Linked DNA regions of Oryctolagus cuniculus. The protein of the gene in region 2 interacts with the protein of the main gene of each other region in a pairwise test. Links are inferred from orthologs where the notes say so. Each region holds a gene or a part of one and is shown on either strand. Other genes may lie near its edges.

Evidence for each region.
Region 1: the proteins of JAKMIP2 (region 2) and CLIP4 interact in binary tests that used the Homo sapiens proteins (3 or more experiments, as listed by UniProt). The two-hybrid records come from large-scale screens. The link is inferred for Oryctolagus cuniculus from reciprocal best matches to the Homo sapiens genes JAKMIP2 and CLIP4.

The regions. Positions count from the first base shown.
Region 1 is NC_091433.1:173,895,427-173,911,967, forward strand, and holds the start of CLIP4 (CAP-Gly domain-containing linker protein 4), read right to left. Parts: upstream 10,705-16,541; 5' UTR 10,473-10,704; intron 5,229-10,472; exon of another isoform or gene 5,101-5,228; intron 1-5,100.
Region 2 is NC_091437.1:35,123,777-35,139,676, forward strand, and holds part of JAKMIP2 (janus kinase and microtubule-interacting protein 2), read right to left. Parts: intron 9,332-15,900; coding exon 8,834-9,331; intron 5,165-8,833; coding exon 4,955-5,164; intron 3,098-4,954; coding exon 2,999-3,097; intron 345-2,998; coding exon 198-344; intron 1-197.

The DNA.
Region 1 (16,541 bases), on a different chromosome or scaffold from region 2:
TTTGAGCTGCACTGAGACAGAAGATCTAGTACGCAAGGAGATGGCGTCCACTGGGTGCTTACTACGTGCTGTCCATGTATGCCTCTGCAAGATAAACATCATGCTGCTTTCACTTTTCCAGTCAGAGAACCAAGGCTCAGAGCAGAGAGATGGCTGGCCCAAGACCGCACAGTAACTCACAGAACTGGGATTTGAACCTGGGCCGTCTGGTTCCAGAGATAAACTCATGAGCATGATGATTTGCAAGAGAAAAGGCTTGGCAGCGTGCGTAGTGGCTGGTCGGGCAGAGCCTCTCAGGCCATCCGGCCGCTCTAACAGAATGCGGTAGACCAGCTGGCGCATACGCTGCAGAAATCCACTCCTGCAGGCGGAAGTCCCAGACCCAGGAGCTGGCTGAGCCCCCTTCCTGTTCCTGGGGAAGCCAAGGAGCGCTCCTTGGGAAAGGAGGGAAAGGAGCCGGCCAGCCCCTAAGCCTCGCACCCCACGCCTGTGGCTCCACGTAGGGGCCCATAAAAGACTTCGAGCGTTTTGGGGTGGAATTTATCAGCTGAAAAAGTCGCCTTGAGATCCTGCCCTTACCAATTCAACCTAGAGCTTCTCAAGATAGACAGTGATTTGTACAAGTGATTTCCCCACAAACACCGTAGCTTCTGTCTTCAACGCGCGCTCAGCAAGAGTCTGCATCCAAAATGAAGTTGGGAGGAGTTCCAGAGGCGTTGGGGGTGGGGGGACACTCTTGCTTCTGCCTATACCATCACACCTCATTAACTGCTTTATCACATAGCAATAACACCCACCTGTCAACACGTTAGCTTCTTGGTTACTACATAATCCTGTAATGATACATCGTCTTTGGGAAGTGTGCCCATTGACAGAGGCAGGTCCCAGCAAAGAAACAATGGCCATGCAGCCTGCTGGGATGCTGTCCTACCCAGCTTGCCACTCTTGCTCAGCTTCTCTGGGCACCTTAGCTTCTAAAATGTTTTGTTGTTGTTCATTTTTGTTTGTTTTGAGAGGCAGAGAGAAAGAGAGAGAGAGAGCGAGCGAGTGAGCTCCCATTTCTTGGTTCACTCCCCAAATGCTCACAACAGCTGGGACTAGGCCCAGCAAAAGCCAGGAGCCAGAAATTCAATCCAGGCCTCCCACTGAGTGGTAGGAACCCAAGAACTTGAGCTATCCCCGCTACCCCCCAAAGTCTGCATGGGTAGGAAACTAAAATCGGGATCTGAAGCCAGGTTTCAAACCAGGTACTGGGGTGTGGGATGCGGGCGTCTGAACCACCAGGCCTCACCCCGCCTTCTGTTTCTCTAGCGTCAGCAGTGCCCGAATTCCGACTCCACAGCAGGGAGTCACTCAAGTCCAGTTGGTCGAGTGAGACACCACACACCTACTCGGGAGCTGGTTTTCACCAATTCAGGGGCACTGTTGCTGGGAGCAAGAGCCTGGCACCTTTGCAAACAGTACCCAGGGCCTCTATTGCAAAGGCCTGTGTGGGTCTCAGCTGAGATGGGCCACCCTCAGCATGCTGGCCACATAGTCCTCAGCTTCTGCAACCCAAAGAGACCCAGGAAAAAAAGGTATGGGAATGACTGGCATTGTGGCATAGCAGGTTAAGCCACTGCCTATGACACTGGCATCCCATAGGGGTGCCCGTTTGAGGCCTGGCTGCTCCACTTCCGATCCAGCTCTCAGCTGATGTGCCTGCCTGGGAAAGCAGTAGAAGATGGCCCAATCACTTGGGCCCCTGCACCCTTGTGGGAGACCAGGAGGAAGCTCCTGGTTCCTGCTTTGGTCTGGCCCAGCCCTGGCCTTTGTGGCTATTTGGGGAGTGAATCCGTAGATGGAAGATATTTCCCTCTCCCTCTCCCTCTCTCTCCTTCTAACTCTGCCTTTCAAATAAATAAGAATAAATCTTAAAAAAAGAGAAAAAGAGAGATGTGGGTGGTGAGGGAGGCTCTGACTCCTGTTTGTGAAACACGTACTAAGTAATTTTCAGTGTTAGTAAGTACCATTAGCTACATCCCTCTCCTTAAGGACTCTATAACCTTTGTAAATTTTATTATATTTTAGTTTTGTAAACATTTATTTATTTAAAAGAGTTATGAGAGAGAGGGAGACAGAGAGAGAGAGAGAGACATCCTCCATCTGTTGATTCACTCCCCAGATGGCCACAACAGCCAGGGTGGGGACAGGCTGAAGCCAGGAGCTTCTTCCAGGTCTCCCACGCAGGTGCAAGGGCCCAATCACTTGGACTCATCCTCCACTGCTTTTCCCAGGCCATCAGCAGGGAGCTAGATGGGAAGTAGAGCAGCTAGAACGTGAACCAGCACCCATATGGGATGCTGGTGCCGCAGGTGGCAGCTTCACCCACTACATCACAGCTCTAGCCCCAAGAACCTGAGGTTTTAAAGTCAGGACTGAGAGATTTCCTGGAAGGGGGTCTAAGCTTTAAAAACAGAACAGTAGGGGCCGGCGCTGTGGCGCAATGGGTTAACACCCTGGTCTGAAGTGCTGGCATCCCATATTGGCGCCTGTTCTAGTCCCGGCTGCTCCACTTCCGATCCAGCTCTCTGCTATGGCCTGGGAAAGCAGTAGAAGATAGCTCAAGTCCTTGGGGCCCTGCACCTGCATGGGAGACCCAGAAGAAGCTCCTGGTTCTGGCCATTGAGGCCAATTGGGGAGTGAACCATTGGATGGAAGACCTCTCTCTCTCTCTCTCTCTCTCTCTCTCTCTCTCTGCCTCTCCTCTCTCTGTGTAACTCTGACTCTCAAGTAAAAAATAAATAAATCTTAAAAAAAAAAAAAAAAGAACAGTGCCAGGCAAACTGGATCTAATTGGTCGCCTTACAGGCAGACTGAAGTTCAAGTTCATAATTAGCTTTGGGGCATAAATAAATAAAATTAAATAACCTGGCCTCTCAGAAACTCAGCTCCTGTATTATAAAATGGGTATCATAGTAGTTTATCTCATGTTTCTTGTAAGAATTCAATGAGATGGTATGTGAAAATAACTTAGCACAGGGCCTGATACTAATTGCTCAAAAAGAGTAATTAACACATGCACATAATTGCTAAATACAAGACATATCATTTAGGGGCCAGTGCTGTGGTGCAGCAGGTTAAGCAGCCACCTGCAATGCCAGCATCCCATATGAGCACAAGTTCAAGTCCCAGCTGCTGCACCTCCAGTCTAGCTCCCTGCTAATTCCTGGGAGGTTGGCCCAAGTGCTTGGGCCCCTGCACCCATGTGGGAAACCCAGATGGAGCTCCAGGCTCCTGGCTTCAGACTAGCCATTGCAGCCATCTGGGGAATGAACCAGCAGATAGAAGATCTTTCTCTCTCTCTCTCTCTCTCTCTCTCTCTGTCTCTCTCTCTCTCTCTCTGTTTCTCATTCTCTCTGTGTCACTCTGCCTTTCAAATACATAATTTTATTTTTTTAAAGATTTATTTTATTTATTTGAAAGACAGAGTTACAGCGAGAGGTAGAGACAGAGAGGGAGGTCTTCCATCCGCTGGTTCACTCCCCAGGTGGCCCCAACAGCCAGAGCTGCGCCGATCTGAAGCCAGGAGCCAGGAGCTTCCTCCAGGTCTCCCACGCGGGTGCAGGGGCCCAAGGACCTGAGCCATCTTCTACTGCTTTCCCAGGCCATAGCAGAGAGCTGTATTGGAAGAGGAGCAGCTGGGACTAGAACCAGTGCCCATATGGGATGCCAGCGTTTCAGGCCAGGGCTTTAACCCGCTGTGCCACAGCGCCAGTTCCTCAAATACATAATTTAAAAAAAAAGTTTCCATAGAAGTAGAATTGACAGATAAATATATGTTGCCAAATAAACTTAAAATTCATACAAACAAGTAATTTTTGTACCAGTATGTCCCATATTTTTAAAATTTTCATCTCACATTAAAATTTAACCAGGTAGCTGATATTTTTGTTCCCCAAAAGTGTCAGCCTATGTAGAAAAGGTAGAACTTACATTAGAGGAAACAAAAAATGCTGCAAAGATAGCTATGAAAGCGTTGTAACGTTTGAGAAGGAACACCTGAGATCCAGCCCAGCGCATCCAGGTGTGATGCAGAGTACACGGGAGGGGGCGGCGCTGTGGTGAAGCAGGTAAAGCCGCTGCCTGCAATGCCGGCGTCCAATACAGGCACTCTCCTGGCTGCTCTCCTTTCCATCCAGCTCCCTACTAATGGCCTGGAAAAAGCAGCGAAAATGGCCCAAGTGTTTGGGCCCCTGCCGCTCACTTGGGAGGCCTGGAGGAAGCTCCTGGCTTTGGCCTGGCCAAGCCCTGGCCATTGGGGCCATTTGGGGAGGGAACCAGCCAATGGAAGATCTCTCTCCCTCTCTCTCTCTCCCTCTCCCTCTCTCTCTCTCTCTCTGTCTCTCTCTCTCTCTCCCTCCCTGCCTCTCTCCCCCTCTCTTTGTGTAACTCTGACTTTCAAATAAATAAATATTTTTTAAAAAGAAGGATATGCCGGAGAGTCAGAAACAAGGTGCTGAGTTCCTGGGGTAAGGCAGGAATCAAAGGCAGAGACGCTTGGAGAAAAGGAAGAGCCTGGATCTACACCTCCACCGGGCCCCGTCCCTGTGAGAGGGATGACAGCCAGGGAGATCCGTGTGCAGCTGCCGCCAGAGGGTGGGGGCCAGAGCCGTGGAGAAGGAAGGTGTGTTGTGGGGAAGGCGTGGCCACGGTTCTGAAGGGGAGCTGTCCGTCACATCAGGACGTCCCCAGGTCCCTGCAGCCTCCTCAGTGATGACCAGAGTGAGCAAGTGGTATGGATCTGCAGAGGCCTCTTGATGGGGCTTAGCTAAGTCCACAGGGAAAGGTGGGCACTTAAGGCCCGCCCGCCCTCCTCCAGCAGTGAGAAGACACTGAAGTCACGGGATTCCTTCAGTCCCCCCAGCGCTTTCCCCACTCCTGAGGGTCCCCACAGGGTCCTTCCGCCCTCCAGAAACAACAAAGCTCTTGAAAGACAGCGATTCCAGTGCACACAGAGGGCTTGGGACCTCAGGGCAACTTCCCTGTGGGGTCTGTGTTGCTGTTTTTGACCTCCCACACTCATTGCTTTCTTCCTCGTGTGTGTGCACAAAACCTTACTCGTGTGACAGATGAAAAAGCCAGGGCCCCGCGTGGCAGCTCTCCCCCAGCAGGGCAGCTCCTCTCTAGAAACACTCCCCAGCAGGAATCTTCCAGTTTGATCCAAAACAGCAACTGGTGCAGAACATCTGCTAATCCAAAAAAATGAAAATAAAAATTCCAAATTCTTTGGACTTTGGTATTTTCAGTTGGGCTCCTGGAAATATCAAAGGATATATGTCTCTCAACTTGTAGGGATACCAACTAATCAGGCTTTTTGGATTATATTACATTGTATTACATTATATTATATTGTCAAGATGTGAAGTGGTACTAAAGTTTAAGTTATGAAAATGTAAAATGCTACTGATACAAATGTCCAAAAGTTAAAGTCTAATGATCTTATGTTACCAGGCATGATGGTTATTTAATGAGAAGGCCCAGAGGCCTAAAAGGGATAAGTGCTTTTTTAAATCTTACCATAGGGGCCGGCGCTGTGGTATAGTGGGTAAAGCCGCTGCCTACAGTGCAGGCATCCCATATGGGTGCTGGTTCAAGACCCAGCTGCTCCACTTCTGATCCAGCTCTCCTATGGCCTGGGAAAGCAGTGGAAGATGGCCCAAGTCCTTGGGTCCCTGCATCTGCATGGGAGAACTGGAGGACACTCCTGGCTCCTGGCTTTGAATCTGCACAGCTCTGGCCGTTGCGGCCGTGTGGGGAGTGAACCATTGGATGGAAGACCTCTCTCTCTCTCTCTCTCTCTCTCTCTCTCTTTCTCTCTGCCTCTCCTTCTCTCTCTGTGTAACTCTGCCTTTCAAATAAATAAATAAATCTTTTAAAAAAAATCCTTCCAGGCCGGTGCCGCAGCTCACTTAGCTAATACTCCGCCTGCAGCGCCGGCACCCCGGGTTCTAGTCCCAGTTGAGGCTCCGGATTCTGTCCTGGTTGCCCCTCTTCCAGTCCAGCTCTCTGCTGTGGCCCGGGAAGGCAGTGGAGGATGGCCCAAGTGCTTGGGCCCTGCACCCGCATGGGAGACCAGGAGGAAGCACCTGGCTCCTGCCTTTGGATCGGCACAGCACGCCGGCCGCAACGCGCGGGCCGTAGCGGCCACTTCGGGGGTGAACCAATGGAAAAAGGAAGACTTTTCTCTCTGTCTCTCTCTCTCTCTCTCTCTCTCTCTCTCACTGTCTAACTCTGCCTGCCCAAAAAAAAAATCCTTCCATAGACTTCTAGTTTAGACCATCAAAGATCAGAGATGGGACTCGAGCACCCCTTGACTTGCATCCTCTTAAAAGTTTCCTCTTAAACCTCCTGACGTGAAATGGACACTATGGGAAACGGTGACTTGATCAGCATAGCCCTGACTGTTAACAAACAACTTAATACATTATCCCTCTTAGTAGTTTTTTTTTTTTTTGTCTGTTCTACTTAATATGACTGGTTTAATTCTGTAATTAATACACAGTTATTCTTAAGTGTTGAAAATTAACTGAAATGTGATCCCTGTTAAACATAAGAGTGGGAATAAGAGAGGGAAGAGATGTATAATTTGGGACATGCTCAAGCTGACTTGCCCCAAATGGTAGAGTTAGAAACATACCAGGGGATTCCAATTCAATCCCATCAAGGTGGCATGTACCAATGCCATCTCACTATTCCAAGTGATCAATTTCAGTTCACAATTGATCATAATGAAAGGACTAAGAGTCAAAGGGAGCACATAAACATGTCTAGTACCTGCTAACACTAACCAATAGAATAAATAAAGGGGAGAGTGATCCAACATGGGAAGTGAGATACTCAGCAGACTCATAGAATGGCGGATGTCCTAAATAGCACTCTGGCCTCAGAATCAGCCCTAAAGGCATTCGGATCTGGCTGAAAAGCCCATGAGAGTATTTCAGGCATGGAAAGCCAAGACACTCTGGCAAAAGATCTCTGTGAGTGAGATCCCAGTGGAAAGAACAGGTCTTCAAAGAAGGAGGTACCTTTCTCTGAAGGGAGGAGAGAACCTCCACTTTGACTATGACCTTGTCTAAACAAGATAAGAATCGGAGAACTCAGAGGGCTTCCATAGCCTTGGAAACTCATGACTGGAGCATAGGGAGATTACTGATGCCATAGACAGGAGTGTCAATTGGTAAAGTCAACAACAGGAGTCACTGTGCACTTACTCCTCATGTAGGATCTCTGTCCTTAATGTGCTGTGCATTGAGATTTAATGCTATAACGAGTACTCAAACAATATATTTCACTTTGTGTTTCTATGGGGGTGCAAACTGTTGAAATCTTTACTTAATGCATACTAAACTGATCCTCTGTTAAAAAAAAAAAAAAAAGAAAGAAAGAAAGAAATTATCAACTCCCAACTTGACTCTCACTGGGATTAAACATGACAATAGGTCTGATCTGATTTCATCATCATTTTAAAAAAATCATCTATTATTTTTCACTTTATGTTTCTGTGTGGGAGCAAACTGTTGAAATCCTTACTTAATGTATAGTAAGCTGATCTTCTGTATATTAAGATAATCGAAAATGAATCTTGATGTGAATGGAAGGGGAGAGGGAGTGGGAAAGGGGAGGGTTGCGGGTGGGAGGGACGGTATGGGGGGGAAGCCATTGTAATCCATAAATCGTACTTTGGAAATTTATATTCATTAAATAAAAGTTAAAAAAATAAAATAAAATAAAAAAATAATAGATGTGTCACACTTATGCACAATATCAATAGTAGAGCAAACTGTGAAGAGGGACTTACAGGGACTGTCTATACCATCTACATTTTCCTATAGGCCTGACAAATAAGTCTACGGACTTTAAAAATGTCTAACATCTATTCCTGAGTTCCTCTCTTTTGAGAGACAGAAGGTAACAAAGTGAGAAAAAGGCAAAGAAGGCCTTCTGTAAGTGGACGGGTCTACAAGAATCCATTGCTTTCAACAGACAGCAACAAACAGTTTAAAACTAAAAACATAATACATTTATATTAGCACCAAAAAGAGGAAGACATGTATAAGTCTAACAATATATGTACATATTTACATGAGGAAAACTATAAAATATTGATGAAAGACCCAAAGCTCTAAATGAATGGAGATATTATACAATGTATGCATATATCATATAGTATCCTGTAAATATGTACAATTTTATATGTCTGTTAGAAAGCGGTTCTTTTTGAGATTTATTTCATATATTTGAAAGGCAGAGTAACGGGGGGTGGGGGGAGATACAGAGAGAGAGAGAGAAGGAGAAGGGGGAATGGGGCGAGAGAGATCTTTCATCTACTTGTTCACTCCCCAAATGGCCACAGTGGCCAGAGCTCTGGGCCAAACCAAAGCCAGGATCTGTGGGGAGTGTGAGCCTAAGGACTTAGGCCATCTTCTGCTGCCTCCCCAGGTGCATTAGCAGGGAGCTAGACAGAAGTGGAACAGCTGGGAGTCAAACTGGCACTCTCAGGCAGTGGCTTAACCCACTGGGTCACAATGCCAGTCCCTGTTAAAAAGTTTTAAGGTGAAAATTCTAATGAAAATAATCAATAAATGGAGAGATCTTCCATGTTTGTAGACAGGAAGACTCAATATTGGTAAGATGTTAGCTATTCCCAACTCTGTAGATTCAATGCAATCCCACTCAAAATCCCAGGCAACTGTTTAGTAGAGATTGACAAGCCAATTCTGAAGTTTATGTGGAAAGACAGAAAGTAGCCAACACAATTTTAAAGGAGAGGAACCAGTTCAGAGGATTGACACCACTGGGCATAAAGATATCAAGACAGTGTGGCCCTGGCAAAAAAGAGACAAAGAAACCAAAGGAACAGAACAGAGAGCCCAGACACAGACCCACAGGAGCACAGCCAGTGGATGTCTAACAAAGGGCCAAAGGCAACTCAGTGGGGAAAGGGGGGACGATGAGACAGCCACAGCAAAGAGATGAGTCCAGATAGAGACCTCACACCTTCCACAAAAGTAAACTCAAAACGAATCACAGACATAAATGCAAAAGCCAAAGCTGTAAAACTTCTGGGAGATAACATAAGGTAAAATTTAGGTGACTGGGTATAGTGGTGACTTTTTAGATAGGATGGACACCAAAGGCATAATCCATGAAAGACTGAACTGATAAATTATACTTCATTAGAATTAAAAACTTCCACTCTGTAAAAGACCCTGTGAAGGTAATGAAAAGGTAAGACAAAGAGGAAAATTCTTATAAAACACACATCTGATGAAGGACTGTTATCCAAAATTATACAAAGAACTCCTAAAATTCAAAACTTTTTGCTCAGTTTTTAAAAATGAACAAAAGACCTAAAAAGACACTTGGTCAGAGAAGATTTACAGTTAGTAAATAAGCAAATGAAAAAGTATTCACATCATATGTCATTAAGGAATTGCAAATTTAAAAAAACAATGAGATATTACTGCATACCATTAAAATGGCTCAAATCCTAAACACTGACAACACCAAACACTTGTAAGGATGTGACCCAATAGGCGCTCTCATTCGTTGATGATAGGAATGCAAAATGGCACAGTCACTCTGGGACAGTTGTGCAGTTTCTTATAAGGCTAAACACAGTGGTACCAAATGATCCAATAATCACTCCTTGGCATTTAACCAAGTGAATTGGAAATTTAGGTCCACACAAAAGTCTACAGATGAATAGCATCTTTATTCATAATTTCCCCAAGCTGGAAGTAACCAAGACCTCCCTTAACGGGTAGATAACTGGTACATATATACAATGGGATAATATGCAGTGACAAGAAGTACTGTGCTCTCAAGCCATGAAGAGACATGGAGAAACCTTAAATGCTTAAATGTTAAGTGAAAGAAACCTGTCTGAAAAGGCTACATACCATATGATTCCAATTATACAGCATTCTAGAAAGAGCAAAGCTATGGTGACCGTTAAATAATCAGTGGCTGCAGGGACTGGAGAAAGGAGGGAAGGGGGAGTAGATGACGCACAAGAGGTTTCTCAGGGCAGTGAAACGGTTCTGCACAATCCTATAGTGGTGGATTCGTGGCCCCAGGCACATCATTTGTCAAAACCCACAGAGCGAACACCACCAAGAGTGAATCCTAACATAGGCTATGGGTTTTAGTTAGTAAGAACCTATCAGATGGATCCATTGATTATCACAAGGAAAACATGTGGACTGTGGAACATTTTTAACAGCTTTGTAGCACTGACCTGACTCTCTGGTCAGGCTATTATCTATAAAAGGACGAATTTCTGTAAAACACAAACAAAATGAACATGGCTGAGACTCACGTTCATTTGCCTAAGACCACACAGCGCTTCATGAGGATACTCGGCACTGCCCTAGCAGGAGTGAGTTCCACCAGGGGGCTGGGTGGGCAGGTTTTATAGTGAGACTTACCCAAATCTCGCGACTGTCTCCTCAGTGTCGTCAAGGAAAAGGATGTTCAATCCCTCATTCGGTGAGAGTACTAGTTGTTTAGAGTGTTGTCTGGTGTACGGGAGTGTGTGGTGTTTACATCACGGGCTCCCTGGGGCCCCTGTGCAGATTCCAATCACAAAAGGCCAGGGTGGTGATGGCAACTTTGGCTGGCTCCCTCTGGTGGAGTTCTCCTTCCAAGTGCACCAGCCAGTGTTCCTACAGACACCAAATACATAATAATGACGCGAGCTCTGGCGCTATGGATACCGGATTTAAAGGGCCAGAGACTGTTCATTATAACCCTACTCTACCTTGTAGAGCGCCAGTAGCAATGGCAAAAGAAGAGGAATCATCAATGGGGTCTGGCCTCTTCCCTCTACAGTAAGGAAGAAGCCCAGAAAGCTCTAAAAGATGTCTCCAAGTCACTAGCAAGCCGTTAGGGACCTTGGTCAACCTGAATCCCAATCCAGGGCTCTTTCCATGTCAGCTTTCCTGAAGCTTTGCCAACTTCTTCTTCAAGTGGGAGAAGCAAAGATTGGTTCCAAAGTTGGAAGCACCATTAAGACATAAGCTCCAATCATGTGCTGGAGCCTATAGGACACAGATTGCATCTCATGTCATGACATCCGGGAAGGTAATAACTGAGGGAGTGACGGCCCACCAGAGATATGAAGGCACTTCAAAAACGGGGGTGGGGGGGCTGTGTTGTGGTGCACTGGGTTAAGCTACCACCTACGATGTCAGCATCTGTGTGAGTGACAGTTTGAGTCCCAGTTGCTCCACTTCCAATCCAGCTCCCTGATAACATGCCTGGGAAAGCAACTGAAGAGGGCCCAAACTTGGGTCCCTGCCACCCACATAGAAGACCCAGGTAGAGTTCCAAGCTCCTGGCTTTGGACTGGCCCAATCCTGGCCATTTGGGGAGTGAACCAGGGGATGGAAGATCTCTGTGTGTGTGTGTGTGTGTGTCTCTCCCTCTCTCTCTGCAATCTGTCTTTCAAATAAATAAATAAATAAGACAACTATTTTTAAAAAGTCCATGGAAACGTAAAATTAAAAGATATGTTTATGAGGCCAGCACTGTGGCATAAAAGGTTAACTCTCCACCTGTAGTTCCGGCATCCCATATAGGCCCTGGTTCGAGTCCTGGCTGCTCCACTTCCTATCTAATGTGCCTGGGAAAGCAATGGAAAATGGCCCAAGTCTTTGGGCCCCTGTTTCCACACGGGAGATCCAGAAGAAGCTCCTGGCTCCTGGCTTCAGATCAGCCCATCTCTGGCCATTACAGCATTTGGGGAGTGAACCAGTAGATGGAAGATTCTCTCTCTCCCCTCTCTCTGTCTCTTTCTGTATCTCTGCCTTTCAAATAATTAAATATACCTTTTTAAAACAAAGATATTTATTTTGGTGCAAAAAGTTTTTGAAACCCATGCATGGTTGTCTCTTAGTATGAATTTTCCATGTACATTTTGAAGACCCCACATACGCATGGATCTCAAAATGTTTTGTGTCGCTCCCCCTCTTCGTGGAGGAACGACACAGGACCCTGCGCTGTTCTTTTGTCTGCTCGGCCCTCCCCGGGTTTGCTGCTGGTTCTTCCCGGGTTGGCTACCGTCCCTTCCACCTCCGTGGAAGGGCGGTTCCCCCTGCCACATTCCCCACTTCTGCGGGGGAGCGGCACACCGCCGGCCGGCTCTCTCGGGGGCTGCACAGGTGTTCCTCAGGTATTCCCCTTAGATGTTCCTGGTGCATGTTGTCTCTCTCCTCCTTTATAGTCCTCCTCCGCCAATCCTAACTCGGCTGCCCACACGCCGAGTATGCTGCTCTCCTCCAATCAGGAGCAGGATCAGCTCCTGGAGGTCATCACTCAAGTTGGCAAGAGGCAGCTGCGTAGAAGCTGTTTTCTCCTCTCCCAGCGCCATATTGTGGGAGAGCAGATGCATAGAATAAGTCTTAATTCCAGTAACTCAGTCCAGTCCGGGTTGCTCCCCACAGTTTTGCACCAAAAACAAATGTCTCCAGGCCAGCGCTGTGGCATAGGTATACAGCTGCGGCCTGCAGTGCTGGCATCCCACATGAGCACTGGTTTGAGAGCTGGCTGTTCCACTTCTGATCCCGCTCTCTGCTATGGCCAGAGAAAGCAGTGAAAAATGGCCCAAGTCCTTGGGCTCCTGTACCCACGTGGGAGACCTGGAAGAAGCTCCTGGCTCCTGGCTTCAGATCGGCCCAGCTCTGGCCATTGTGGCCATTTGGGTAGTGAACCAGTGGGTGGAAGATCTCTCTCTCTGTGTCTCTCTCTGCCTCTCTATAACTCTGCCTTTCAAATAAATACATAAATAATTTTTTAAATGTCTTTTAATGCTATTTTCTGTGAACTCTTTGAAGAACCCTCATAACTAAGTGGTTTTGGCTATTGGAATTGTCACTACCAAGGCTCCATTTTGGAGGCCAAGTTGCCACATGAGCCAGGACAACACTGCAGGAATTCTCTGGCTAACGAGAGACATGTGGCCCCGTGTGCTTTCAAACTGCTCTCTGTTCCTACACCCTTAGGAACAGAGGGCAGCCGCAGAAATGCTGAGTCACTCTTTAGTTTCTCTTCTGCAAATACACCAGCCGTCACTTCATGCCCAAAGAAAGAACAGCTTTGTGATGCCAAGGCCTGGAGCACCTCGGTTTGCGGTGAGTCTCTGGAAAGAGAAAGTCCAACTGCCTTCATTTTAGCTAAGGGTAACCTGCAGTAGCATTTTTCTAGTCTCCATACTATAAAAGTAAGACAGAACCACTTAGCTCAGTGCATGGCTCCAGCTCTTCATAAACTGCAAGTCTTTTTGACCCCCAGCTGTTTCTGCCCAGTTTCCAGGAGGAAGCTCCAGTTGTCAGAATCACATATTTGTTTAAAAATAAAAAGTGCCGTGTTAACGGCGTAAGGCACATTGAAGCAGCTGAGCTGTGTCACTGTGTCGGGCATAGGTGAGGGAGGCTGGAGCTGCAGGGAGCCCAAACCCGATACCATTGGCTGGGAGCTTGGAGAGGATCACTGTTCCTACCGAAATAACACGGCTGGCTGTGACAGAATAGGAGCTGCAGGTGCCAAGGGCTTCTCCCTCCCCCGTTGCAACCTGATCTTGAATTCTGAGCCTTTGTCTCTATAATAAAAATCCTTAATATAGAAGAGTAACACTCACTCTTAAAAAAATTAGCCAACCTATAGTCTCTAGGATTCTCAGTTATGCTTTTTTATACAGATAGCAATAATTTCTATTTGTAATGAAGACCCTAAAGAGTTCATCTCAAAGTATATTCACAATTATGCACACACACACACACACACACACACACACACGAATGCTGGAGCGTGTACTAGACCAGGATGTCGCATAAGAACTCCTGAGTCCTCTCACTCAGGGCTGCTGACTCAACTGGGAGAAGGAGATAGATTCTCTGCTCTACAGATGACTCACTTCTCCATATCCATGCACGCAGCACAGATCTTTCTAGAATGGTCCCCAGTACATCAGTCAAGAACATCAAAGCAGACTCAGCAGGCAGTTAGAGAAGAGTTCAACAAAGGCATGACTTTCAAGGGTGTGGGCAGAGCTCAAGGAGACCCCAAGGGCAAGGGCAGTGCTCCTTGGCAGTGTTAACAGCACGTTACCACCCCAGCCTGCGAGTGAGAGGAGAGAGCTATGTCAGAGCGTGGGGAGGGTGGGTATGTGCAGAGGGGTCCCTGGCGGGAGCTGTGGTCATCCACGAGGCCAGGGTAGAGAGGATGTGGGAATCAACATCCTAATCACTCCCGCCCACCTGGTGATGCCCTCTGCTTACCACAATGAAATACCTGGCACAGCGACTTACAAAGAGAAGAGAGGCGTACTTGGTTCCCAGTTTGGGAGGTTTAGGAGCATGGGAGTGACGTCAGCTCAGAGCTGGCGAGGACCTCACAACATATGATGGGCGGTGGGGAGCCGTGGGGGGGGAGCCCATGTCAGGGCAGCAGGTCACGTCTCACACCAGGAGCCAGACTCGCTCCTTCGATGACAGCCCTCTCTCCAGAACGGCCAAGGGCTGCACAGGAAACAGCTTCACGTCTCCAAAGACCGAAGGATCTGCCACTTGGCCCCATCTCCCAAAGTTCCCACTACTACTCAGTGTGGCCAGCTGGGGACTAAACCTGGGCACTCTTGAAGGATGCGAAACGTATTTGATGTACAGCTCCACCCACACGGATCTGCTCCCAGGACACAGATACGCGTGGGGACATGGGTGTGGAGGGCAGGGCTACAGGGGCAGAGAAGAAATCCCACGTCCAGAGTCATCACGATGTTCCCCCTTCTGGTCCTAGGGTTAGGACCTGGGTCAGATCTCTCAGAGCACGGACAAATGTGCTCTCTCCTTCTCCCAAGGCTGGACCTTGCTCTCTGACACAAGAGAACATTTTCAGCAAGAATGTGAATGGTCTCATCATGATTTCTGATGATAAGACATTATGTTGACCTCTTGAGCCCCCGCCACCGATCAGGTAATAGCTTGGAAGAACAGCACATAATAACTCCTGGGTCTAGAATGAGGTTTTACTGACACCTGGCTGCCTATAATTATTGGAGCCGGTTATAAATTTCACAGTCACCGACTTGAGTGTGCAAAAATGTAATTTTCTCCATTCTCCTGTAATTGAGTGTAATTTCCGCCTTGAGCCTCCATTCTGCCTCAAAGCAGAGAAAATTTAATCGAGTCACTTTCAGATAAACTCATTCAAATTCAGTCTTTTCTTAGTCAATTCCAGTTTATAATTCAGCCACAATTGAGTTTAAAACTCTCTTTTTCTGTCCCCTTATCCCTTTTTTCTCCCCTGAAATTCAATCTAAGCTCTCCAGGGCCTAGCCAAGAGGTCCGTCCACTTCTCAGTCCTAATTTGTCCTCTCTGGCTCTGAGTACCATGGATGTCAGGTGCTCCACTAAAAGTGGGTGGCCCGTGGCATACAAAGGGGTTCTCAACTTCTCTCTAGTGAGAGTGCAGCGCTGTCCTTCTCTGCTTCGCACACCTCACCCTGGGCCAGCCCACCGGCTCTCCCGCGCCTCACCTTGGGCCAGCTCACCGGCTCTCCCGCGCCTCGTCCTGGGCCAGCTCACTGGCTCTCCTGCGCTGTCTGCTGAGGTCTATGCTACGTGGCAGCCTTCAGGACACTGCAAGTACCCTCTTGTGCCACCATGCCCTGTGGGGTCTGCAGCAGGCACTCTCACTCCACCATACCCAGATGATGTGGGAAACAGGGCAGGCAGCTTGGCTCACTCACACTGGGCTTTGGAATGCCTGGGTTCAAGTCCACATCCAGCTCCTGCAGGTGCACAGGCCTGCAAGGCAGCAGGTGATCATGGCCCAAGCACTTGGGTCCCTGCTGCTCACACGGGAGACCTGAATTGAGTTCTTGGCCCAGCCCTTGCCTTTGTGAACGTTTGGGGAGTGAACCCACAGGTGGAAGATCTTTCTGTGTGTGTGTGTGTGTGTGTCTGCCTTTTCTATTAAATTAAACTTATTTTTTTTAAAAAGAAGACATGAGGGGCTGGCACTGTGATGCAGCGGGTTAACAGCCTGGCCTCAAGCACCGGCATCCCATATGGGCGCCGGTTCAAGACTTGGTTGCTCCACTTCCAATCCAGCTCTCTGCTGTGGCCCGGGGAAGCAGTAGAAGATGGCCCAAGTCCTTGGGCCCCTGCACCCGCATGGGAGACCTGGAAGAAGCTCCTGGCTCCTGGCTTTGGATCAGTGCAGCTCCAGCCATTGCGGCCAACTGGGGAGTAAACCATTGGATGGAAGACCTCTCTCCCTCTCTCTCTGCCTCTCTTCTTCACACCCAGGTAGGAGCCTCCAGCTGCTCTCCTCTTTCCCCTCTCCCAGGGTTCTGCCTGCTCCTGTCCCCTTGCACCTCCACCCGGTCTCATACTAAGGGCAGCCCTCGGCTGTGGAAGCCGGTGATTCTTTGAGTGGCTTCTGCCGACAACGGTGGCCGCCATGGCTGTGAGGAAAGGCCCTAGAGGCACACGGAA
Region 2 (15,900 bases):
TGGAAACACTCCTATGGTTCTGCAAATTTAGAAACCCCGTAAACTTCAGAGCCAGCAGACTTCTCTTGCCTTCTTCCTTGCTTACATAAGGGGAAATCCAAATAGCATTGTATTTAGAAAATAAGCAGAGAAAAAAGTCAGGTGACTGGAGTAACCTAAGGAAGGGCGCTCCAGTTTTGCAGAGTCGCAATACAAACCATTTCTAAATTTTCCTTGGTAACGGCTTTCAGTTTTTCTTCCATGCGCTGCAAAGACACCATCAGTTCATCATTTCTCTTGGCGAGGCACTTGTTCCTTTCCAGGAGAGGTTTACATTGCTTTTCCGTTTCCCGCACGCGTTTTAACTGGGAAGAAATAAATGAAAAATTGTCTCCTGTGGTTGGGGGGTGGGATTTGGCACAGGGAGAATCAACTGGAGAGAGTGACCACCCCTCTATCACCACCTTTGCCTTCTGCACCATGTGTCTCAGGGCTGAACACTGACAGTGCAGTCCCTCATGGAATGGATCACTTACTTTGTTTCCTATTCCCTCTGATGGTTTTTCATCAGTCTTCAAACCCGCTATCAATCTATAACGTTAACAGGTGCTGCGGAGATACTGCTTATGGAAATGCTGAGGATAAAAGTCCTCCCTGTTGGATTGGCTTTCTCTCTAGCAGTTACTCCACTATGCTCAACTCTGAGCCCTGGACCTGGGATGACCTCTCATTGGCTGAGAGAGACAAAGTAGCTCATCCGTTTCACAGTCACTAGGCAATGCAACCAGGACCTGAATCCCATCCTGATGTCTCCAAAGCCTGCTCTGTCCCACAGAGATGTTGCTAGAATCCCCTGACTCACAATAAGCTTTATTTTGGGCAAAAATCCCATGAAATTTTTGAACTATATTGATGTTTATCTTTAAGAATATCCAATCCTCACCAAGCCTAAGTAAAGTATGATTGTATTACGACCACTCACAATCAAGAGGGACAATACGTACATTCTCATTTGCCTGGTCATTCTAAAGTAGACTGTTTCAACCTCTGTACCCTTGACATTTAGGCCCAGATATTTTTTGTTGTTAGGGGCATTCCTGTGTGCTGTAGGATGTTTTCCAATATCCCTGGCCTCTACCGACTAGATGTCAGTAACACCCTGCCAGTTGTGACAACCAGAGATGTCACCAGATTTTACCCAGATCACCTCTTGTTTAGAACCACTGATCTAAATTTATACTTGCTGTCTTGGAAGTAATTGTTAATAGTTCTACCTTTTGGCCGGCACCGTGGCTCAATAGGCTAATCCTCCACCTAGTGGCGCCGGCACACCAGGTTCTAGTCCCGGTCGGGGTGCCGGATTCTGTCCTGGTTGCCCCTCTTCCAGGCCAGCTCTCTGCTGTGGCCCGGGAAGGCAGTGGAGGATGGCCCAAGTGCTTGGGCCCTGCACCCCATGGGAGACCAAGAGAAGCACCTGGCTCCTGCCATCAGATCAGCGCGGTGCGCCGGCCACAGCTCGCCAGCCGTGGCAGCCATTGGAGGGTGAACCAACGGCAAAGGAAGACCTTTCTCTCTGTCTCTCTCTCACTGTCCACTCTGCCTGTCCAAAAAAAATAGTTCTACCTTTTACTCTCCAAAGTCTCTCGGTTAGATAATATATTTTATGATCATCCTATACATAACAGGTTTCCAAGTTGAAGTTCTCATGATTAATTCATCATTTTCATATGAATGATTCTGAATGTGGATATGCCTAGGTGGTAGAGCTACCAAAGCAAGGAAAGGCAAGGTGTAAATCGGAAATATCTGGACAGAGTTTTAAAAACATTCCCTCTTGTTCTTGAGAATCTGACATTTTAGGAAGTTGTGACAGGGGAAACATAACTGTCCATGAATGTATGAAAGACCTCTCATTGTGATTCTTGAATAGCATTTCAACAATTCTATCTTCAGTCTCAATTTGATATCAACGACCAAAATTGGGCTTATTTTTCATAAATAATTTGACTTAATCTGCAATTCCTGAACTTTCATCCCTGAATCATTAATATTAATTACTGAGTGCATAAAAAGATAAATAAACTACTCCATTAGGTTCATTATCTTAATCTGTGTCTCTTTGGGTGGCCAATGACATGTGCTTTAAAAAATTACATTTGCTTAATATACACAACTCATATAAAATGTATGTAAACACGAAGAAAATAACTAATTCTTTCATATATAAGAGTCCTCTAGTACCCAATAAAATGGTTCTTTTAAAAGACATACCCAATATATAACAAAGGAAAGCAGAAAGCAATATATATGTATGTATACATGTATACACAGATTTATGTAAACACAAGAAAACCTGATATAATTCAATTAATAATAATAAAGGCTTTAAATCAAGAAGTATAACCAGAGAAAAATTTCATAGTGGTAAAAGGCTCAGTACACTAAAAACATGTAACAAATATTAATTTATATGCATATAGTAAAACAATTTCAAATACATATGGGCAAACTGAAAGAAATAAGAGATATAGACCAATATGTTAGGAGAATAAGCAGACACAAATATGAGTAAGGATACAGAAAATTTTAAATAAGACAAATGCCAATTTGAATAATATGTTATTCATTGAATAATAAAATATGAATGAATCTTACATGTTATACAATCACAAATATCATGCTAAAGAAAAGAAGCCAGACACAAAAGAGAAAATATTGCATGATTCCCCTGACAAAAATGTTTACCAATGGTAAGAGCCATCTGTGCCTACAGAAGTCAGGGTAGTGGTTAACTTTAGAAGGATGGTGATTAGGAGGGGTCACACAAAAGGGAGGTCCTGAGATTCTGGTAACTTTCCACTTATTCATCCATTTGAGGGTTATAAGGATGTACCATGTTGTGAACATTTATTAATGTGTACTTTTTTTCTGTTATGTTTTACTTCTAAAGCTTCATATATACTTCTCTAACACAATGCCTAACAGGAAAATAAAGTAGAAACATTCTGATGTAACTCACCAATTCATTTCGCTCATCTCCAAGCAAAGTATTCCTGTCTTCTAATTTTCTTATAGTGGCGTTCAATTCAGCTATTCTCTTCTGATTTCTTCTCAAATCCTACCGATGAAAATTAAAATGGTTATTTCCTTGATAACACTTTTCACTTTTGGAATACTGCTCATAAAATTAATTGGCACAGTTCTCTTTACTGAGAGTAAAATATTCTCTTATTTAGAGAAGAATAATTATCTACTTTTCCCCCTAATATTCGTGGTTTGAATTTAGGAGAAATCCTGGTTGAAATTACAAATGAATTCCCTTGTAGCAGTTACACCCCAAAGGCTGGGCTCATGGGCAGGGGAGCAGAAGGCTGAATCAGCCTTTCAGAGCTGTGTCCTCCGAGACCATGGTTCCGTTGTAATTACATGAGATCAAGGAGCAACCCTTGTGTCGTGGATGCATCTTGCTCCCCACTGCTTACACAGATCTACTGCTATTCCACGTAGCCAAAGAGGGGACTGGGTAGGAGCTGGGAATGGGCTTGTAAAGTCCTGCATATCCCTGGAGAAAAGGTCAGAGTGAGAAAAGGTCACTGTGTGACCTTCATGTATAAAAAGCAGCAGTTGGACCCGCATGGGAGACCAGGAGAAGCACCTGGCTCCCAGCTTTGGATCAGCGCAGTGCGCTGGCCGCAGCACGCTGGCCGCAGCGGCCATTGGAGAGTGAACCAGTGGAAAAGGAAGACCTTTCTCTCTGTCTCTCTCTCTCACTGTCCACTCTGCCTGTCAAAAAAACAAAAAACAAAAAACAAAAAACAAAAAAAACAGCAGTTGGTAGGAGAGGCTCTGCTGGTATATTTTTACCTAGTGCAACTGGCTTTCCTACTGACAAAACTGCCACAAATCACTTTACACACAGCAATCATGGCTTGCCTCTCAGCTAGTCCATAGGATTATTAGCATATGCTTGCAATTTTATTATCATCTTACATTTTGTTGGTGCAGTATTGTTGACACAGCAATTTCACACCTATTGTATCTCTAGAGTCACAGTACTCTCCAAGAGTCAGCAGAATGGGTAAAAATCAGGGAGGCTGTTACCTGTTTCAGGTTTCATGTTTAGAATCAATAAATCAAATATAATACACATATATGCTATTTTCTCCACAAGTATGACACATTGCAGGTGTCAGTGATAGAACCAAAGCATACATCTGCTAAATCCTAGATCAGTACTGTCTCTACCTCCCGCCAGGATATATATATATATATATATATCTTGACTATATATATTCTTGAATACCAATTCTTGAATTATTCATCACTTGGTACTAAGTAGTACTTTAGTAGAACTCATCTCTGTTCTTAAATAATACATTTTCATCTTTTTAGCAGCTAATAACTTGAAAGGTATAGATGTGTTAGCAAACTACAGACAAGCCCTATTCCATCATCGTACTTTTGAAAATAATTTCTTATATAAAGTGTTGAACATCAAGGGAAATGAGTGGCAAGTTCAATAAGACTAGAAGCTTTCACAGGATGAGCATAACCGGTTTAGTTTCTCATACAGTTATACATTTTGATCCCTTTAAATGATAACCTCCTTTATCAATTTCTAACCCAATTGTTCGCATAAGGGAAAATGATTATTCTTGGCAAGAGGTAAAATATTTCCATCTAATTTATGATTCTTATAATAGACTTAAACTGGAAAGGTATTGCTTGCCTAGAAAATTCTATGAGGGATTTAAAGAGAGCCATATTTTTCACGTGATCTACTAATGCAGCACAGACCACTTTTGCTGTCTATCAGTTTAGAAAACCCTCTTCCCAAGATACTAGCTGGTGGTATAATGGGAGGTAAAATTGATTTCTTTGTAGTAAAATGAAAAGTGCTTAAGTGAAAAGAAAAATTTGGAAGCTAAATAAAAGATGACTCCTGAGTTCTGAACTTCAACTTGGACAGACTTACAGGACTGCCGCAATGTTCAGAGCCGTCTCCTGCCCTTCCTGGGATTTCCCGTTTCGGACTGCTCATGTTACACTCAGCCTCCTTGACGAGAAAGAGTTGCTCATCCAAAGCCTCCTTCTGCAGCTGGAGTTTCTGTACATAGCCTGTCTGGGTCTCCAGTTCCTTTTCCAGCGAAAAGATGATCCTGTCCTTGGCTTTGATTTCATCCATCTGAATTAAACGAGACCCAGAATATTCTTATTTAGCAATGCTGTGAAGAAATGCATTTTCATAGCGGTATGAGTTTAACTTCTTTCTTCTAAATGAAATCAGGAAAAAGTGGACATAACAAGTGTACTCAATTCATGAATACATTGAGCAACATTGTGAAATGAACGGCTGTTGAGGTTAATTAAATGTCAAGGAGAGTCATTTTTCTCTCTACCATATCCTGTGTAGATGTTTTCATTCAGTAGATTGCTTGAAATGGTCTAGGCTGGTTAAATACAGAAAGCAAAGGCAAACTTTAAAATAGGTTATTAGTGTAGATAAAGACAGACACTAAATACACCACTACAATGTTTCCTAGCACATTTGTGTTGCTTTCTCTTCAAGGGGAGTGGACATTTGAGTTCAATTCAAGTAACAGCTGTCACAGTTAGGCCACTTGCAACTGAAGAAACTGCAGAGTTCCCAATGACTGAGTCATCTCCTAAGACTACCATGTTTGTGTTCAAGTAGTGAATTTGGAGAGGAGTCCATCCATGGGTCATGTCATGTGGCTCTTTCCACTCCCATTCATATTGTACAGCAGCCAGCTTTTAGCAAACATTCTGCCCTTATGCTCAGAAAATGATGGTTGGGACTCGAACAGGGATGGCAAAACGGGGCTATATTAGACACTATCTCCCCTCCTTCATCTGCGGGATATATGTAGTGATTCCAACACTCATTTCTGCTAAGCCTGATCATGTCCTCAAAAATATTTCTCAAAGCAGAGCCAAAGGCATTGGATACCAACTGATCAGCGTTCCACTGCCATGGAACCTTTCTGCCATTCCTGGATGAGGGATAACAAAGTGACTGTAAAATAGACAGCCCGGTCATTGACAGTAACATTTCTTCTCATTTTACTGTATTCTATGCAAATATTCAATATGCAAATAGGGAAAAGATATCCAATACAGAGAAAATTTTACCATTTTCCTATTTCTCAAAATAATTCTTTACAACAATTCACTTTGTATAAATCTTTGTTGTGCTGTTTATACAAGAAAAAATATTTGAGGCAGAAATTACATTACATAGTTTCATATTTTCCAAATATCTGTGAGCTTTTGCCACCAAGTCACAAGATTAAACTTTAGGTCAATTTTGGGAGGGCATTAAATTCTACATGATCCTATGGTGTCATCTGATAATTTGTAAATGATCATTACTGTCCTGTTAATTCTGGAATACAAATATCACTTCTAGTTTGTATCTCTTTGCAGTGAGTCCACTCCTATTCTTAACTGGGTAATGCATTTTTCTGTCAAACCTGTCATCTATAGTGTTATATACATTTTAATTTAGCACCCAATCTGCCTGTTCCTAATTGATTCTGATGTATCCTCCCCGACTGAGCTCGATTCCATTACTTCCCACATAAACACTCCGATCATCACCATCATCATAACTGAAATATATCCATCTTTTAGTATATTTAAAGCACTAAAGTGAGAAATTTACATACTTCATCTCATTTCAGAGCAGTCTTATTCAGTAGATTCTGTTATCACTGTGTTATAGATGACGACAGGTGACCTGAAAGGTTTAAAAGCTGGCTCCAGGGAGCAGGTGCCTGTAAAGCACACTGAAGTGCCTAAGCTTGATTCTTGGCTCCAGCTACTGCTTGGAGCTTCCCACCTGAGAGTTAGTTGATGCTGACTCAAGTAGTTGAGTCCTCTCTGCCTCTCAAATTAAAAAAAAATTAAAAACACCAAAAATGTTGGTGGTAGTCATCTGCTAGTCAGTATTGAAACCTGATTTTTTAATTCACTCTTGTGATACTAGAGGCCTTTCTCAGGCACTATGCTCCTCTTGCCTCAAGATTACCCATCTTCCAGCATTTTCCATGCTGGTTTTCAGTGGAGTACCTTAGTAATTATTATTGTGGTAATTCTATTGCATAGTGGTTATAAGCATGCTCTCTCACCTCAGAATACTGAATATTGACCAAAGTTATATTTCATTGATGGAAAGGGATGCATACCAGAATTCTCTGAGGGAACCTCCTAAACAGAACAGCTCCCATTTCCCTCCCTTCCAGTTACAAAAATGGAATTAGGGCATGGGGTAGGAACAGGATAAGGAAGAATGAAAAAATGAATACGAGTACATCTGTTTTATTGAAACAGTTGTCTATGTTATTCTGTTTTTACCCAATTTTCAAACCCCTTTTAAAGTGGCTTAACTTTTAAATTGTCACTAAGAGGGATTTTCTGGCTACTTAATGTATGCTTTGATGAAATGATGTCACGGAAACAATTTACAAATCAACAAGGGAACATATTTGCAGATTTTATATTGAAAGCCCTTAAGAATCAAAAATACTTAATGCAAAGCTTCCTTTTTCATTACTTACCTGCTGGCTTCAGAGTTCACAGTCTTGATTCTTTCTTCATCAGTCATTATTGTTTCCGAAACCAAAGGCAGGGCAGAACCAATATGTCTGCACTGTGTTTGGTCTTTATTATCGAAAAAATACAATAGAATGAGCTGCAGATAAAGCATGCAAAGTGTAGCAAAGGCAACATTTCACAGTCACATTGTACTGCAGTGCAAAGAACATTATACATCCTTAGTTTTTGAAAGTGTTCCATGATAACTACTTTGAACTTAAAATTGAAATCTTAGAGATATCATCCAAGGGACATAATGGAAATTCTTCAAAAACAATTACTTCAATTACTTAGCATTGCTTGACACATGAGGGAAAGTATAGTTTCTCTTAAAAAGATACATTTTCTAGTGAAGTAGAAAGTACATTCTAACAGGTGATGGCTTATTTGATAAGTTAAAACTAAACTTTAACTAATGCTGAATATCTGAGTATAGTAAATATAAAGGTTTCTTTTAAAATAGCTGGGCAATTTCAAATTAGGGCATTACAGCTTTCAGACAATTGTTCCATTTGTTTTGTTTTTAAGCATGGTAAAAAAAATCATGTGACTTTTGGCTATTTGTTAAAAGGAAGGCAACTTTAGGGGTTGAAGTAAGTCTTGGAAATTGTGAAAAGCAAAAAAGTTACTTAGGAAGGACACACAACTTAAAATTTATAATGGTTCCTGTTGTAAGTGGCCCATGTTTATTTTGGGGAAAAGACCAGTTTTTAAAATGACTAGGGATTTTGTGTCTCTGTGTCCTGTTTCCAGATAGTATTCTTGGAAAATCGAATGGCAAATCACTTGAGATATTCACAGTGGCTGCCATTTTCACACACAGGGAAAGCTGTAGCTACTTTGCTATCCCCCGTAAAACATCCAGTAACACTTTACAAATGGAAACCCCACAAAACAAGCTGACTTCTGAGGAGCACATAATTTAGAATATTTTTGCAGATATCCAGGAATGTAGGTGTTTTCTCCACACATGTGGTCTGGGAGAACCTCGAGTTCATTTGAGAAAGGCGATTCCAAAATTGCTTACATTTGCAATCCATTTTTGGCCTGCCCTTAGCTTTCCTTAGATCTCCCTCCCTCCCTAGTGATCTAGTTTGTATTTTAAATACAGCACTAGACAAAAGTGTGCACTGTTTATTAGCATCCACTAACAAGGAAACACCGGAAAAATAAACCCCACAGCATTCTGAAACCTGGACAGAAGGTGGTTCTGCCTGGGGCCGCCAGGATTACTAACCAGCCTCCGAATATCCCGCTCGGACTCCCACTTGATCTTCGAGATGGCTTCTTGGTGGGATTGGTGCTCACTCCTAAGGTCCCCGGCCTTGATCTTATCCGCTTGGATCATATTGCTCAGAGCCTCGTCCACCTGCTTCTTGGCTGTTTTCAGGTCCGCAATTTCCTGTAAGAGCTTAAGGCGCTCTGCATCAAACAGTTTCCGGGCCTCCTCCCGGGCCTCAATGGTGAGCGCTGTCCTTACTTTGTCGCTGCTGCCGTCCCGTAGAGCACACAGGGCCGACTTGAGCCTCTGGATCTCTCCGTCCCGCACCTTCACTGTCCTCGACATCTCCTGCTCGTGCTGCTTGATGAGATTCTCCCGCACGGCTTGCAGCTCCTTCATCTTCTCCTCATGGAGCTTGGTTTTGAGTTCTGTCACCAGCACCGTGTGCTTGCGCTGCTCCAGCTCACGGATCCTCTTGGCTTCTTGTGTCTTCTCTCTTTCAAGCTTGGATACCTGAAAGTACAGAGGCAAAAGGATGAAAAAAAAAATAAATGACCCTCAAAGGCAAGGTGTGTTCCTAGGCAGGATTGGCAGCGCTGGCTGCTGTGATGGCTTAATTCTCCTCTGTTTTCAAATCCCAGGCCCCTGTGCGCTCCCAGGCAAGGGTACCACGGGGCATGCAGTTTGTGGAAAGATGAAATGCCCTCTAATCCTCCGCCTTGCGGTGCCGGCACACCGGGTTCTAGTCCGGGTCGGGGTGCCGGATTCTGTCCTGGTTGCCCCTCTTCCAGGCCAGCTCTCTGCTGTGGCCCGGGAGTGCAGTGGAGGATGGCCCAGGTGCTTGGGCCCTGCACCCCATGGGAGACCAGGAAAAGCACCTGGCTCCTGCCTTCAGATCAGCGCGGTGTGCTGGCTGCAGCGCGCCGGCCGCGGCGGCCATTGGAGGGTGAACCAACGGCAAAGGAAGACCTTTCTCTCTGTCTCTCTCTCTCACTGTCCACTCTGCCTGTCAAAAAAAAAAAAAAAAAGAAGAAATGCCTAGATTGTAGATTGTTTATTTGACTTTGTTCACACAAATATTTGATGTTCTCAGGATTTCCTAGTCCATGTGTGGTCAGCACACATGCAGCACAGGCAGTGTTCAGAAGCTTACTAAATACAGCTCTAGACGAAAAGTGTACACTGCTTATTATCCTCCACTAACGGAAAGAATCCCGGGCCCCAGCCTAGACCTATGAATGAGAAGGGGCATTTTCACCAATCCCCGGGCGACTGGTATGCGCATTAATGTTAAGAAGTATTGCTAACGGTTTTCTGCCTGGTGGGGAGGAGTTCAATATAGATCATCTAGAGGGCCCATTAGACTACACAGCCTTAGCTAGGTCCCAGCTGATACACGTGAGCATCTCAGAATAGCTCAGGGTTTGATATTGTGATCAGGCTCATAAATCAGTGCCTGGGGTATGTTATAAATGATTCCCCTCCTTTTCTTGTGGGGAAGGGGAAGGGAAAGTGCTACAGCTAAGCAGGAAGGTGGAAAATGAAGGCAATGGGGATAGCCTCACTTGTCCTTTTCCTGGTATGGCAACTCAGTTCCAACACACACACACACACACACACACACACACAGCAATAAAACCCAGTAAGTAAAAAAGGGGAAAACATCCCTGCTGCTCCTTGGGGTCCTCTGTCTGATAAAGGACTTGGGTGGCTGTAGTTCCTTTCAAGGTGGTGGTTTTTTGTGCATGCTCCTCAGATGCCTCCTTGTATCTCCTTCTCCGCCCCCCCCACCCCCCACCCCGAGCCATTGTTCTTGCTGCAGCCCAATCCAACACTCCAACTAATTGAGCAGAATATTCCTTTTTGCTTTCCAAGAATTCTAGTTAAAAGTTCTGGGGCTGGCAATGTGGTGTAGCTTGTAAAGCCAATGCCTGCAATGCCAGTATATTGTATGGACGCCAGTTCAAGTCCCTGCTGCTCCACTTCCAATCCAGCTCCATGCTAATGCTCCTGGGAAGGCAGCAGAAGATGGGTCAAGTGCTTGGACCCCTGCACCCATTTGGGAGACCTAGAAGAAGCTCCTTGCTCCAGGCTTCAGTCTGGCCAGCCCTTGCCTTTGAGCCATCTGGGGAGTGAACCAGCATATGGAAGGCCAATCAATCTCTCTATCTCTGCCTCTCTCTCTCTTTCAAATTAATAAAAAATAGATCTATTTTTAAAAAGTTCTTCTGTGTTTTGTTACATTTTTAGTGATAATACAGACCTGCTGATGGATTACTAATGATGCTACCTGTATCTGGCTCACTCAGTCTCTGATTCGGTAGATAAGGACAGGTCCCTAGTACTAACAGCTTAAAAACACTCCTGGTTATCCTGTTCTGTTGTCTCCCTCCCTCATCTTGCTGTCTGTCTCTATGTGTGTTTTCTCTCTGTATCCCTCTGTTCGTTTTCTCCCCTGCATACATACACACAGCAAGTAGAAAAAGAGAAAAGTAGTTAAGAGACTTTCTAGCTTAAAAAAATTAAGATTAAAACTCCCTATTGAAACCTTGTAATTATCACGTAAAGTGTCCACTATTTTACTTACCTTAGTGGTTCACCTACCTTTAGGCAGAACACTATTTTCCAAGTACTCACAGCATCCTGCAAATATTTCCTTTTGAAAGCACAGAGATTATCCCTATGAAGGTTGTTCTAAAAAGAGCTCAGAGCACAAGGGAGCTCGATGTGGTATGCAGCCAGGCACCCTCACAAGGCTGTCCTCTGGTCTCCTGGATGCCTATTCTGTGACATGTGATAGAGCTGTGCTGTCCAACAGGTAGCCACCACCACACTGCACACTTGGAACATCAAAAGTTTGAATGGAGATTTGTTCTAAGGGTAAAACACATTACAGATTTTGAAGACTTAGTGTGAGCTAAGGAATGTAAAATATGGGAAGGGTGTTTGGTGTGGCAGTTGGGATGCTCTCTTATCAGAGTGTCTGGTTCAAGTTTGCACTCCTCTGCTTGCGATCCAGCTTCCTGGAAGGCTACAGGTGATGGCTCAAGTAGGTCAGGCCCTGCCACTCATGTGGGAGAACTGGATGGAGTTCCTGATCCTACGTTCAGTCTGGTCCAGGCCTGGCTGCTGCAAGCATTTGGGTAGTGAACCAGTGAACATAAGATTTGTCTACCTTTCAAATAAAATGAAAATATATAAAAATTTTAAAATGAATGTGAAAGATATGATTAGTCATATTTATGTTGATTATATAAGAAACTATTATTAAAACTAATTCTGTTTCTACTTTTAAAAATCATAACTATATGAAATCTAGAACTCATATATGGCTTGCATTTATGGCTCACATCTTAGTTCTCTTGGACAGCACTGTTCTTGAGTTCTGAGGGGCTCATTTGCTGAACCTAACTTGCCCCCACACTGCTGGTGATAATTCTCTCAGGAAAGCCCCATTCTGGTTTTATTTACGTGCCTGCTCAAAAGCCACCCAGGGCCCCTATTTCCTGTGGAATAAAATCGCAGCCTCTCAGCTTCATCTTTCAGCCTCTCACAGAGGTGTTGCTGGACTTTCAACTCTCCTTTGCCCTTCCCTCACCTGCCCTCTGTCAGAGATAGGGGATTCAGCCTTTCTCTGCTATACCATTCGCTCTCCCATACCTGGAGTTTCCTCTTCTGAACTGCCCCTTCCAGGTCTCACTGACAAGCTGGGTCATCCTTTCCTGCTTTGTCACCCCAACTGCGCTGAACAAACCCCACTTTTCTTGCCTTTGTCTTCCCAGCACACTCTGGGAGCATCTCTCTGCTGATTCTTCCCCTGTTTTTATTTATACTATTTTTTTGGACACATGTCTGTTCTCCTGAACACCCCTTCTAACTCTAGCCCAGATTGGAAACTCCTAAAAAATCACCAAAGAGCCCTGCTCATCAACAGGGACCCAGGGGCTGCCAGCACAGCACACAATAAGGAGCAGAAGGCATCACAGGGGGTGAGTCAGTGTGTTTTCCAGGCTAACCCATAGCCAGAGGAAAGAATCATATATCCTATCTCGTGGCTAAGAGAACACAGTCTTCTGGAGTTACCAGAGCGGCCTCTCATCTATCCCTTCCCTGTATACAACAAAACAAGCATCTCCTAACATCAGGACCTCCAGCTCTCCTCTTGATGTTTCCTTTGGTGCATTAGTGGGCACAACCTTGAGCTTTCCATTCTTTTAGAGTCAATGGAAGTGGGCATCTTTCGGGCCAGAGGTGAGAAAACTATAATCCATGGACCAAATCTATCCTGCCCTCTATTTTTATGAATAGTTTCACTGGAAAATAGCCTTGCACATAACTTACAGGTTGCTTACGACTGCTTTTGTGCTATAATGGAGTTGAGTAAGTTTGCAGAAACTTTCTGGCCCACAAAGCTTAAAAAATTTACTATCTCGGCCGGCGCCGTGGCTCAATAGGCTAATCCTCCGCCCTGTGGCGCTGGAACACTGGGTTCTAGTCCTGGTTGGGGCGCCGCATTCTGTCCCGGTTGCCCCTCTTCCAGGGCAGCTCTCTGCTGTGGCCCGGAAGTACAGTGGAGGATGGCCCAAGTGCTTGGGCCCTGCACCCGCATGGGAGACCAGGAGAAGCACCTGGCTCCTGGCTTCGGATCAGCGTGGTGCACTGGCTGCAGTGTGCCAGCCGTGGTGGCCATTGGAGGGTGAACCAACGGCAAAAGGAAGACCTTTCTCTCTGTCTCTCTCTCTCACTGTCCACTCTGCCTGTCAATAAATAAATAAATAAATAAAAATAAAAAAATTTTACTATCTCACTCTTTACAGAAAACATTTACTTATTCCTGTCATAGAGAGTACATTTTTGAGGGGAGGGACCTTATTATTTCCCATTTAGAAACTCTTTAAATTTACCTTTCACATAAGACAATGCGGAAGTTACTTTAGCTCAAATGATAGGAACTTATCCACCTACAACTTCAGCAGGAGGTATTCACATCAGGCATTTGGAACAGTATTAGGACTACAAAGACTACTGTTACCAAGTCGCTAAAGGGAAATGTTAGCAATGCTTCCTTGAACAATGAAAGACTATTGTAAAAATGAACAGAGTAAGAAATTCTGGGTTTGCATTTCTATGTCACTATTTGCCATTTCTATGAAAGTTGTTTAAAAAATGCCTGTACCAGGGTTTCCTTAAGGGTTAACTTACATAATGCCTGTGAAAGCACCATGACCTGTACAGTATTCTGAAAAAGTGAGGTAGTCCTATCTCTGGAAATGGTTAAAGACACCTGATCTAAAATTATATGTCAAATTTTCTGCAGGTGCATTAGGATGTATCTCTCTGTCACTCTGTCATTTCTCTCAAATTATAGACACTAACCTTCTCTGTGTACACTGGAGGGGATATTAACAACAAGAAAAGCAGTGATAATGCATCAGCACAGAAAATAGAGTCTAGCCTGAAGACAAAAACAAATACAAACACACACTGGCCTTCTTGGCTATCCTTTAAAGAATCCATAGAAACCAAAGAAAATAAAAAGGACTTGAGTAACATCCAACATTTCTTATGTCCACTTATTTGGGCTGCCATGGAGACTGGCATTTTTTTGCAGGATTTCTAGGCATGACTTGTTTTTAATCCTCAGGAAAAGTGCTTCACTGTGAAGGAGAGCCAAAGGGTGTGAGCTAATTTTGGGTGGGTAAAGTACGAATAATTTTCTTTTTTTTACTAAAATCATCTTCTTAAAATTATTTTCAGTGAAGATTGCACCACTGCAGAAATAAACTTAAGCATCTTAAAATACTTCTTGAAATGAATATACAAAAAGATGAAGAGCTGTTGCTGAGTAACAATGAATATACGAAGATGATCATATTCAGAAATGGAGAAAATTAGAAGAAATCAATTTTGAATACTGGAGATGTTTCAAGGCAAAAAATTTGAGCTTTATCATAGAATATCTAGCACTAGGTATGTGGAGGGCTATTATGAGTTAGGGACCTATCTAAATAGGCTCTATTGTCTATCAGTACATTGAATATGCTAGGCACCTCTATGATGTGGGTAGATTTATTTCCTCAAATTTCAGGTGAGAAAAAAATAGTCTGTACATCATATGCACACCATCAATCAGTCTGACTGAATTCCAGTGTGGGCCAGGGATCAGATCTAGGTCAGTCCCTAACCTCCTTGTTTGCTCTGAAAGTTTGGGCAAGCTACTTCACCTTTGACAGCCTGAATTTTCTCCTGTGCAAACTAGGGATGGTGAGACCATTCATATACGGGTGTTGTAAGGATTTATTTAGACAATGGATCAAATGCCCTTTGAAAAAGCTGGAATGCATGGCAGATTAATAAATTAACACTCAATAGAAATATTAGTACTTTTAACGAATATTTACTATATTAATATATCGAGCAATTTTAATATAATGTTATATTAACATCACCAACAACATAAGTACAGTATGCACCCTTAACCATGGTTTCAGTTGCCCAGTCAACTGTGGTCCAAGATTATTACATGGAAAATTCCAGAAACAATTCATATGTTTAAATTGCATACTGTTCTGAATAACACGATGAAATCTCATGTCATCCAGCAGCATTCTTCCCAGGATATGAATCACTCCTTTGTCCAGTATATCCATGCTGTGTACACTATCTGCCCGTCAGTCACTGAGTGGCTTTCTTGATTATCAAAACGACTGCCAGGGTGTTACAGAGCTTGTGCTCAAGGAACTCTTAATTTACCCAACAATGGTTCCGAAGCCCAAGAGGAGAGATGCTGGCAATTTGGATATGCCAAAGAGAAGCCACAAAGTACTTCCTTTAAGTAAAAACGTAAAAGGTCTTCCCCAAAAGGCAAGTATCATAAGTTTTCCCTAATCCATGGTAACTAGAGCACAGAAATAAAACGTAATGCATTTGAGCAAGACTGACATTTTGAGATTTGATTATTGTTTATAGCTCTTGTCTCTACTGTAGAGAAATGGTGTTTTTTTCTTCTTGCTATTTGTTGACTTCTTTAATTAGTGGAGGGTTAAGCTTATGATTATAAAGTAAAGTGAAATTATGTCATT